2 linked regions of the Neodiprion lecontei genome follow. The protein of the gene in region 2 binds, or shares a complex with, the protein of the main gene of each other region. Links are inferred from orthologs where the notes say so. Each region holds a gene or a part of one and is shown on either strand. Other genes may lie near its edges.

Region 1 (5,210 bases), on a different chromosome or scaffold from region 2:
GGTATTTTTGAATAATGACAGACATTCTACATAGGAATGAATGTGCCGTACTCCTTAAGTGAGAAGTTGGAAATAGAGAAAAGAACCGTTAAAAAAATTTCCAGCAGTGTTGTTTGCGTCAATGATAGTGAACACAAATGTCCGAATCTAAAGATTTTGGATTCATTTTGTTCACTGACTAGACCACCCTTGCAAATTGTCTGGTAAACATTCCAGAAATCTTCAAAATCAACAAAATAAGGTCAGAACATTAAATTAGAATCACCAAGCACCAGAGTTCAATCATTCTGAATGTTTTAAATATTAAACTTTTTCTCATATTATTGATATTTCAGCTTGTGTTAATCAAATTTACTTCCAACTATTACTATTAACGAAGCTGAAGTTAGTAACGTTACCGTAATCAAAAAGCAGGGAAAAAATAATTATATTGTTCAATTTAAGAATGATTTTCAACGAGTTGGCTTTTCAAGATATGAATAGGTTTTGTTTATTATGGTTTACTAAATTTTAAACAATCCTGAAGATGCGAAGTAACGATTTTTCCCGACCACGCATCGTTGCAATAACTTTACCAACTTCATCCTTATTACTATTACTCAGTTAGGATGTTGCTTCATCCGTGTTCACCATCATTGGTGCATATAACATAGTAGGTGATTTTTCGAACGGAATTTTCGCTTTTCCAATTATCATTGAGACAGTAAGGCCCATTTAACCTTAAGGTCTTGTAATACTACCTTTACCGACGGAACAAATTCACCCTTTTTTTTTCTATATTAAAAAAACAAAAAAACGGAAAGGGTTCAAATTTCGATGATGTATCGCTCTTTTGTAGCGGCATTCAGGAAAATTACTCATATCGCGAAAATCGTCAATGTCAATAGTTACACATGTCAAGAAACCATACTTTTTTTTCATGATTTTCGGGATATACATAAGAAAAGATGCACCGTCAAAATTTAAACCCTTTTCGTTCGTCTGTGTATTTAATATAGGGATAAAAAGGGTGAGTTTGCTCGGTCAGTAAAGATAGAAGTACTACATGACCTTAAGTGCAGTAAATCACATATAGGTAAACACTCGTTCTTAGAAACATCTCAAGTTCAGAGTAATATTCGAAATATGGTTTGTAACGTTGATGTAACAACATATGTCTGAGAAATCACGTTATTTCACAAAATTGGGATTGTTCGGAAAACAAAAAATTTTAATAAGGCAGTAAGGCAACCTAGTGCTGCACAACAGTGATTACTTTTCAGTATTGTAATAACATTGTTACTAAATTGAACTTCGTTGTAAAAAAAACACTAATCTTGTTTTGCATGGAGATTGTAGAGAAAATTGATGGGGTAATCAAACCTACCAATTCTCCACCAGGAAGATTGACACTGGATAAAAGTAGGGCCGAATCCAATTTTGAGTTAGTATCAACCTTCCAGCGTTTTTGCTGAAGCTCTGTAATTCGGCCGACAATTACATCTCCAATTTCACCTTGGTATCGTGCCTTCAAAGGTTTCACAGATATCAGTTTATTCACTTTTTCTAGCACACCAGCGACGGATGCGCGCAGCGTGTCATTGTCATCCATGTATGTCCCATGACCTCTTTATAACATTACAATACACAGAATTGAATTCAAAGTTAATGAATTTCAAATCATGAGTCCTCTTTGTACATAATTGGTGATATAGCTTGAATTTAAATAGGATTAAGAACTTTCATGCATAACACTCTGCAGACATTCATTCATCCAATCAAGCTCAGTGATTTTGCTTTACCCAGAAAATAAAAAAAAATAAAAGGTATATTAGACCGTTTTGAAACAGATTTGTTTTGATGGCTGTAAACCCCGATTTTCAGAAGAAAACTGATGGCATGATACAAAGGTTAAACTAAATCAATCATTTTATAGTTTTGAATAATTGCCTACGGTTTTGATTTAATTTCTTTTTTATTACGATCATAATATCATTAAGACTCAATTCAATTTATACTGTATAATCACATCTCTATCCATTTTCATTTGATTGTTTTGTACACTTTTAAATTCACTTGAAATGCAGTTTGATACGTCATTGTCAAATCAAGTTCAATCCATTTATTTCTGTTTAATTACTGCAACAGGTTAAATCCATGTTAATCAGTGAATAGCATTAGTGCGTTGATGGTTTTCGTATCGATCTTTATTGTGGAAATTCAAATTGCTATAACTCCAATTCAATCTATGACAAGATTCCGAATTCTGAAATATAATTGCTCATATATTTTGACCTACACTCTACTTGTATTTAATAGATTCCAATGACTATAACTGTAATGATACCTGATACCTGATAACCAGCCTTTATTGGTACAGAAACTACGGTTGGAACGGATTCAACTAGTAATCCAAGCTTTTATAACAATTGCAATTTTATTTTTTGGATTTTCTATTGATCAATTAAAATGGATTTAATCTTCACTCGTTTATTGGGTGATGCGTCACACGGGATCTGGTTGGACTGTGTAAGGAGTATTATTGGAAAAAGCGGGAAAATAGGTATAAGCGGATTTAGCACATTCCTCAATAGGTAATAGCCACTAGGGAGATAGAAGAGCTCATTGGATAAGATGGATTATGATGTACCTCATGAAGTCAGGCTGACTACACACCTCTTCACCGGGTGTATAATATCTGGGCATCCCATGGTCACCGTTAGATAAATTCGTATTTGTGCGATGAACTGCCAGCCGCACGCGGATCATGTCTTCATCATTCATTTTCAGGTTATGTACTGTATCCTCAAGTATTCTTGTAGAAGAAACACACTGTTTAATTATTGCGGATTCTTATGACGGTTAATAAAGTTTTTCAAATCGTATGGACAATTTAAAATTAAAACAACTGATTGTAATACTTTCATACTTTGTACTAGCTCACTATTGGTACTGCAGGATAGGCTGGAGATACGCGCTGAATTGCAAAACAAAATAAGCTGTTGTTGCCAAATTCATAGAGGTATATAACAAGTATATATGCTTATTTATGTTGCCAGCCATCAGGGGCAGCGTAACAAGCAATGCCGGCGCTGCGATAGGTTGTTGGTTTATAACCTTCGGTTCAACCAGGTTAAAGCGGTAAACTCGGTTTTAATGTCAAGGTGTGGAGGTTGTGGACCGGGCCTAACTCTACAAAAGTACACTTTAAAATGGGAGCTGGATCCATTGGGTGCTTTCCATTTACTAACTCAAGTCGACTTGTGTCGCTATTTCTGGTGTATTCCTTTGCCCAGATTGGCCGGTTACACCAGAAATAGCGACACGAGTCGATTTGAGTCAGTAAATGGAAAGCAACCATTATATTCATAGGTAGGTACACTTTCGCATTCGACCGACTGTGGCGCTGTAGGTTTCTCTGTGTTGCCCATAGATTTATAAAGATAGAGCGAGCGCTCTTGTGAGCCGCTTGAATCAAACATTTGAAGGACAGAAATATGCCGGGAGTACTCCTTTCTCTCTCTGACGATATTTCTGGCGGGGATAGAGGCGGTAGAGGAGAATGAGGCGAAATTATGCGCCTATATCTGTAGCTGTTCCACTGCCCCGTTGTCTCCCACCATGAGGCCGATTGAAAAGAGAGAGCAGTACTCCTGGTATATCTTTGTCCTTTATATGTAATTGTCAGTGCCTTTTATAGGAGCGCTCAGTCTATTTTTATAAGTCTATGGTGTTGCCAAGGTCCCTAGATTAGACAGGTCAAGACAAGTGTGGGCAAAAAAAAAAATTAGTGAGAATGCGCCAAAAGTTTCGTATGACAATGGATGCTTTCCAGTTTGAGCACAATATGACACGGTGTAAACATTTCTGGTCTATTCCTTTGCCCGGATTGGCCGCTTACAATAGAAATTTGTACGCTGTGTCACACTGTGCTCTAAATTGAAAGCACTTGGTGTGGTTCTGATTTCTGACCTGTCACAATGATTAACCTCAAAATATATACGTGCTTCTATTTATTTCGTGAACGTCAGGACACTAGGGGCGCAACTCGTTAATGCTTAACCTCAAAACATTGAACAAGATTGGTCAAAACTGGTTAATGCGGTAATGTAAGTTTGATGTTTTTTGGGCGAACGTGCATAGAACATTTTTTCCCACGTTATAGTGAGAAAAACTGGAACAAACGTGTCTTGACCTTCCTAATCTAGGGACCTTGCTCATCCTTACCGACGCATGAGGTCCCTGGCGGATTTCCGTCGTACTAAGACATAATAATCACAGAGCTCAACACAGGGAGTATGAGGCAGTCGGACCACCTCTTATTCTTATACCGTGGATTACTCACATTCATTAATTGAAAGTTTTCTGATCTAAAAGGCACTGCAGTTGTTTCTCGAAGCGGGTGTATTCGCGGCGTTACGATTATCTTACGTTATTTATTATAAGAATAATAAAGAAATGGCAGCGATTAGTCTCCTAAACCCGAAAGCTGAGTTTGCACGAGCGGCTCAAGCTCTGGCTGTTAATATATCGGCAGCAAAAGGCATCCAAGATGTGATGAGAACAAACCTGGGACCGAAAGGGACTATGAAGATGTAAGTCGATTTCGCCGCACATGTGATCACACAAACCACCAACCTATGTCAATTCGTCGGCGCTGTCTCAATCGCCAAAATAATAATTTGCTCTATCTGTTACAATGAGCCTTCATTCCGTTCTCAATCATAAAATCCAAGCTCATGTATTGTAGCCAATTAACGTATCAAAATTTATGTCCATATAAGGTCATCCACAATGATTACATCCACTTATATACACGTACACCCATAGAGGCCTTATACTGATTTTGGTTTTAAACGCCGAAAATAGTGATAAATGTTGTTCAGACCTATTATTGAGTAGTTGTAAAGGCAAATTGTATTTTATAATTATTACTTTATCCGAGTGCTGAAATGTCTTCAAACTTATGATAATAGAAATAGACTTGTGGATCGAGTGAGAAAAGTTCAGAAAATCTATGATAAAATGAAAAAAATATCTGATTCAGCTGCAGCAGCGTGCACTTTAAATCCAATAACCTGAAATCAAATGTAGACTAGCTGCAAATATTTTAGTGTTTCCATTAATTTTCCGAACTTTTCTTACTCCATTCACAAGATCTATTATAAGCCCTATCACTACCTGAAATTCAAATAAACTTTTTTACGTAAGATCAGAAAGAATTGTAAGAC
Region 2 (5,841 bases):
TTACAAACGTCACTACAAAATCTCAACACGACCTGGACTGAACAAAGCTCAACTAGCAGATGTAAATTGAATTTCCATTATTTATCATCTTGAAAAATCATACAACCAGCTATAGATGGATGCGGAGAAAGACTACGAATGTCAACTAATGCTTATTTTGCTTTGCAATGTTACAGACGCTCATGAAACATTTCAAGACAATTCCTGTCGTGGAAAAAGAAGCTCTCACATTCTTCATATTCACTGTTAAGACTAATGCTAATAAGTTAGATCAGAAGAATGGATTGACCAGTGAACCTACGTAACATGGACTTGTCACTCGGTGTCCTCTACACTTACATTGGAAATCGTATGGCAAGGTATATCGAATAGATTGCTTTCGACACAAAACTAAGATAGATTGATAGCCCTAGAAACATTATGAAAATATTTAAATCTAAATGTGATATTTATTTTCCCTCAATTCTTATGATTGAGATTATTATATTATATATCAATGTATTTTTAATTTATTTCTAAGAATATAAATATCCACTTTTCAAACTAAGTAAAAAAAATTCGTTATACGGAATAATAATTTATCCACTTTAATTCTATACAATTGAGCTGATTTCGAAATTAATTTTTTTGTAAATTATACATGAATTGAACGTATCCATATATGGAACTAAAAAAAATGGTTTACTTTTCAAAATCGTTGTTCACAACGGAATATCGTGCTTCTGCCTTTTTTTTCAAACATCAATTCGATTTACTTGAACAATTCAGTGTAAATTCTCTCAGGGAATAAATCAACTAACGCGAAGTGCAATAGTATCGACGAATTAAGGGAAAATGTTTGGTGATATTGAATTTAGATGGGAATACGGATGAACTTTATAGAGGAGAGGCAGCCAAATGGGCTCTCTGTACATTCAAATGAGATTTAAAAAATTTTCGATAACGCTTGAAATGTAGGCTTAGGCTAAAGACGAAAAAAATAGCGCTATCGAAACTGTTCTAATGTTATTTCCCCTTAGGGGACCCATTTTGCCCGCCGCTCCCCTACATAGTACCTAAAAATATTTGCAGATAAGATTTATGGTGTACCTTATTCGACCCAGATACATTTTTATATAAAAAAATCGTGTTGCTTTTTCACTCCCTTTCGCAAAAAGTTCTTCATTTTCGGTATGTCTTTACACAATTTAAGTTCGCTGATTGTGAAATAAAATATAGAATAAAAATGGTGTACAGAGCAAACAGTTCACATCACAAATTCTTCATAATTTTAATTGATGTATCATCACAAGCTTTGTACTCTGATAAATTTATAAATGCATGTTTTGAAACGGGGAATGAGAGAAATTGTCGTGTGGAAATGAATGCAAGAAATGTTTGGGATCATTTTTCTATTAAACTACATGATATCATTTTTGCTGACGGTTACAGTATCTTCCTCTTCGCTGTCACCACCTAAATCTGTAAAAGTATTGCTTTTGAAGTGTTTATGAATTATTAATAAGTAGTTACGTATGCTGTGTAAAATTTCCGAAACTGAACTTGTCTAAAGTACTTGACAAAAAAGTTTTATCGTTATTAGGGGAAAAAAATGAAGTCACTGAATGTAATCGTATAAAATGCTCGACCTGGAAAGCTTTTGAGTATATTCCAAACTAAATCTAGAAAAGTTATTGGGTATTTTAAATTTGGCAAATAACAGAAAAGGTTACCTATATCGTCCAACACTTTTTTCTCTAGTTTCGTTTCCTGTAAGATTTCAATATCTTCGATTTCATCATCAGAGGATTCTTCAGATGCCTGCCAAGTATTGGGGCCTCCCTCTCCGACTGATTTACTCTGTTACAAAAGTAATAACACGAATAGTTTCGAGTCACGAAAATTATACAGTGCGAAATTAGATGATTGAACTTGGTAAAAATTTAAGTTCAGCACTTTAAACTAAATATTTATATCAGGTCAACTCGTTTGAATAACTAAGATTGAAGTATGCTAATTTTGTCATTGACAACGAATACAAGAAAATGTGTACCATATTAGTAATGAGCTCAGCAGATCCATGCCCAAGTGTTTTAATATTGTCATCCTCATCTTGGAAATCACTGGTCTCCATATCTGAAAACGAAATTTTACAAAACCCCAAATTATAATATAAATAACAGCAAATGCGATATTACAAATTTTCAAAGAGTGGGAATTTTTGATATTTACTCCAACCACTGATCTCTTATGAATTTTGATTGCCAAGCTATAGTAAACATCATTAATGCAAACTAGGCCACTAATCTCACCACTTTTGGGGCTGCTTTTCCCAGCAACCCAGTGCGCAAGTTTAATACTGAGCTTAGGTTTTGTCATTGCCGTCAATTTTCCGAATGTAATGCATTCCTTCAATCGACATACATCGCGATCTTCTTTGTTGTACCTGAAATTGTATAAATATTACAATTGTTGGCCGGTACAAGTTCTTACCAAGATTTACATTCCGGATGCAGAAACGCTTTTGAACTCTTGAAATGAAGCCAACCTACTTTGCTTCAACATCTTGCTGTGCTGCTTTTCTAATCTGCGTAACTAATTTGTTAGCATAATTAGCTGCATGGGGCGAAATGCTCGGCACCACATCAGCCGTCACAGATGTCTTGCCCAAATAGCAGAGCTGCAAGCTGCAGAGCTCTCTGTAAGAGTTTAATCCTAGGGTTAATTGCGATGCACCTACTCTCTCTTCCATGTAAGTAGGATCCATAACGATTTGGCCACTGAAAAAGATTAAAATGCTTTTAGCTTGAAGTAAACTGAGAAATGACTATTTGATTGTAAATTAACAAATTCTCTCTTCACCTTTCAAAGACAATAAACGAAACGCATACTGGATAGTGATGTAACGTTAGCGGGAGCGGATCTTTCTCGGCAAACGAATGGATAGTTATTGAATCACCAGTGGTAGTGACATCCGGTCTGTGAAAATGTGTCAGTGCAGCTAGTATAGCGATTGAAGCGCAATCGACAAGGTTGCCGTCGTGATTGAGAATGTTGACATCTACCCGCAGGTTCCATACCTACGTAAATCATTACTAACTATGCAGCATTCTCACATTGCACTAATCAAAGAACTTAGCGCAAAGCAATTGATGCAAAAATATTCTTTTCGAGTTAATTCGGCCGCATTAAAATCACCTTCTCATCTGCTACAATGCAGAGAGACTCCAAGTCGACGCATCTAGAATCTTTAAAGCATTTTTCCAACTGCCTGTTGACTTGCATTGCAAGTTCAGATTGTCTGCCTGCTTCAAAGTGTGGGGCAGCTATAGGATTGAACTCAACGTTGATATGAAGCATGCCTTCATTTGGACGCGATGCCTTTGGCTGCTGAATATCACAGGATACTTGGGCAATTGCTCTGAAAAATGTACAGCCAGTGACAAATATGAATTTTTAAGCAGTAACATAAGATGTAACGCCTTACTTAGTTTCACCCAAAGCTACGTGACAACAGCCCCAGTTTGCTCCAAAATGGATTTCCACTGGTCGAGCTTCCAATAATTGTCGTCCATCTAAACGCTGAATAAGATAATTAGGAAAACCCATTAATGATAGGTTAGAAACTAGTTAACGTAGCAATAATTTTGTTCTAACCGTGGAGGATATACGGGTAGAATCAATATTGATATAGGTTTGAAATACGTACACTTTATAAAGTCAAGACCAACAATAAGTAGAAAAAAAAACGTGCTGTAACAAGAGGTTATGAATAGTACAATTCTGACTTACCGTGTCTTCGGCTATTGCTCTATTTATAAAATTTCGTTCACAATTTGATAACGGCGTTTCCCTCATTCTGTATAAATTTATTTGCGAACGCTTTCACACAATTTATTTTAATTTCTTTGTAAATGTATAACAACAAATCGTATCTTATCTTCGACTCGTTCGAAATTCAAACCAATAAAGAATGCGAACCGTATGGACTTTACTCCACGGTTAGTAGGTCGGAGGAAATTACAGTATTCTGTTTCACAGACGTGATTTTACACTGGGATTCTGTAAAACGGGGCGGCAAGTGCAGAGCGATAATATTGCCCCCCGAATATAAGGGTTGAACCAAAGAGGAATGGTATATCTTCAGTCAACGCACTCACGATTAGATGAAAGAAAAAATTGCATTCGATTGATTTATAACCAGTCTCTTATTTTTATTGCCAACGCTTGAGCAGGAGTTGAATTTACATGCGTAGGATTCGCGTACCTCAGATTGCATCGTGAAGACGATTCTTAACTAAACTCAACTAAAATAAAACTAGGATATCAATATTTTTATAAAATAACAACGGATGCAACCTCAGAGAAAGAATTTTTTTGCTCAATACCAAGAAACACTTGGATGCTTGATGTCGATCAGCGTCCGGTCTGAAAGGCAGACGTGATGAACTTGACATTACCTGGCGTTAATTGACATCGAGAATCCATTCGCAATACACCAAATAAAAAATGATGGAATGTAGAATAGCTCACAGAATGGAGGTGTTTCATTGTCAATTACTGCTTTTGGAAGAGTAAAAAAATAATGCCCCGGGTGAGGATCGAACTCACGACCTTAAGATTATGAGACTTACGCGCTGCCTACTGCGCTACCGAGGCTCCGAGGTTATACGTTGGGTGCAACAAACGTTTCCACCAGCGTTTTATTTATGACAACTGTTTCACGATTAGGTTTTCTCTTCGAGATTATCCAGGTTTATTTATTATTATTATTCGGTTTAAATTCAATTCGAATTGAAGAAAAATATGATCTACAAAAAAGGGAATTTAAGCCAATTTGTTATCTCGACGAAAAAAAGTAAAACTTGTTACCTCAAAAAATCATTTCTTATTCCCATGATGGAAAACTGATATTTTCAGTATTTTCCATGACCAAATTAAAAATCCCCTGAAAATTCTAGGTTTTTTAATGATCCCTTTTAAAATACCCTGGCATTTCCAGTTTTTCCAGGTGTGTGTTGTCACCCATCAATTGTTTGGTACGTAGAATGCTTTTTTTGCTTCTGACAAACATATGGGACACTTGACATCGGGTGATGTATATAACCTTTTAAAATTGTTTAAATACTTTACAATCAATTCTATGATACAAATGTGGGTATTTGCTGAAATTATTCTATACCGACAAATATCGCGAATGAATATCTAGCCAGATAGATTAGTCAACTGACAATGAGCGAGCGTATTGAAAAACCAGCTAAGCCTTCGGGAGGTTTAAAGCACGGAGAGTCAGAGGGTAGATCAGCACAAGTCGAAGAGGACGAATATGATCCTTTTTTACATCGATCCCAGGAAAATTTAAATTCGTGAGTACGTTGTACTTCCTGTAGCCCGTAATGTGCATACGCTACGCTGGTGAAAATGATTTCTATAACGTTTTTCTTCAAATTGTTAGGGATGTTCGGAAATTTCGTACAATTTTGTGCAAAAAATTGTATTCCTACAAAATTGTACATGTGCATAGGTTCTCAAGAAAACTCGTCAATTTTACCATGAAAATTTGTATTTCTTTCAATAAAAGAATTTACAAGCTACTACAATTGTTAACGAAAATTAACAATTCGTCGAGAAATGATACGAAATGTTCCGACTTGCGTAAAAATTCGTAGTTGTAGAAATTTTCTCCAGGGTATAAGACACAAACGTTTGCATGGCTTGTTACACGCTTCGAAGACACCGCGCGTGTAAGTCTGAAATATTTATTGCAGCAGCACGAAAGATAATTATTATTGTGAAACTAATGATGGCAAAATTGAAAAATTTCTCGTCCCCCAAAGCTGTAATCTCGATCTAGGAGGAGAT

The links. Proteins that work in one complex are often made in the same cells at the same time.
Region 1: exosome complex component RRP45 (region 2) and exosome complex component RRP4 share a complex: the UniProt entries of both Homo sapiens proteins name them as parts of the RNA exosome core complex. The link is inferred for Neodiprion lecontei from reciprocal best matches to the Homo sapiens genes EXOSC9 and EXOSC2.

What each region holds. Positions count from the first base shown.
Region 1 is NC_060261.1:25,394,967-25,400,176, forward strand, and holds the start of exosome complex component RRP4, read right to left. Parts: upstream 3,035-5,210; 5' UTR 2,909-3,034; exon of another isoform or gene 2,795-2,908; 5' UTR 2,764-2,794; coding exon 2,630-2,763; intron 2,587-2,629; exon of another isoform or gene 2,334-2,586; intron 1,608-2,333; coding exon 1,367-1,607; intron 1-1,366. Other genes in the region: T-complex protein 1 subunit zeta, read left to right, coding at 4,438-4,574. UniProt on the Homo sapiens protein: Non-catalytic component of the RNA exosome complex which has 3'->5' exoribonuclease activity and participates in a multitude of cellular RNA processing and degradation events.
Region 2 is NC_060265.1:3,641,042-3,646,882, reverse strand, and holds exosome complex component RRP45, read right to left. Parts: upstream 4,133-5,841; 5' UTR 3,838-4,132; coding exon 3,772-3,837; intron 3,562-3,771; coding exon 3,467-3,561; intron 3,401-3,466; coding exon 3,178-3,400; intron 3,060-3,177; coding exon 2,842-3,059; intron 2,760-2,841; coding exon 2,532-2,759; intron 2,426-2,531; coding exon 2,292-2,425; intron 2,116-2,291; coding exon 2,033-2,115; intron 1,840-2,032; coding exon 1,713-1,839; intron 1,462-1,712; coding exon 1,400-1,461; 3' UTR 638-1,399; downstream 1-637. Other genes in the region: histone deacetylase complex subunit SAP30 homolog, read left to right, coding at 1-61, 177-305. UniProt on the Homo sapiens protein: Non-catalytic component of the RNA exosome complex which has 3'->5' exoribonuclease activity and participates in a multitude of cellular RNA processing and degradation events.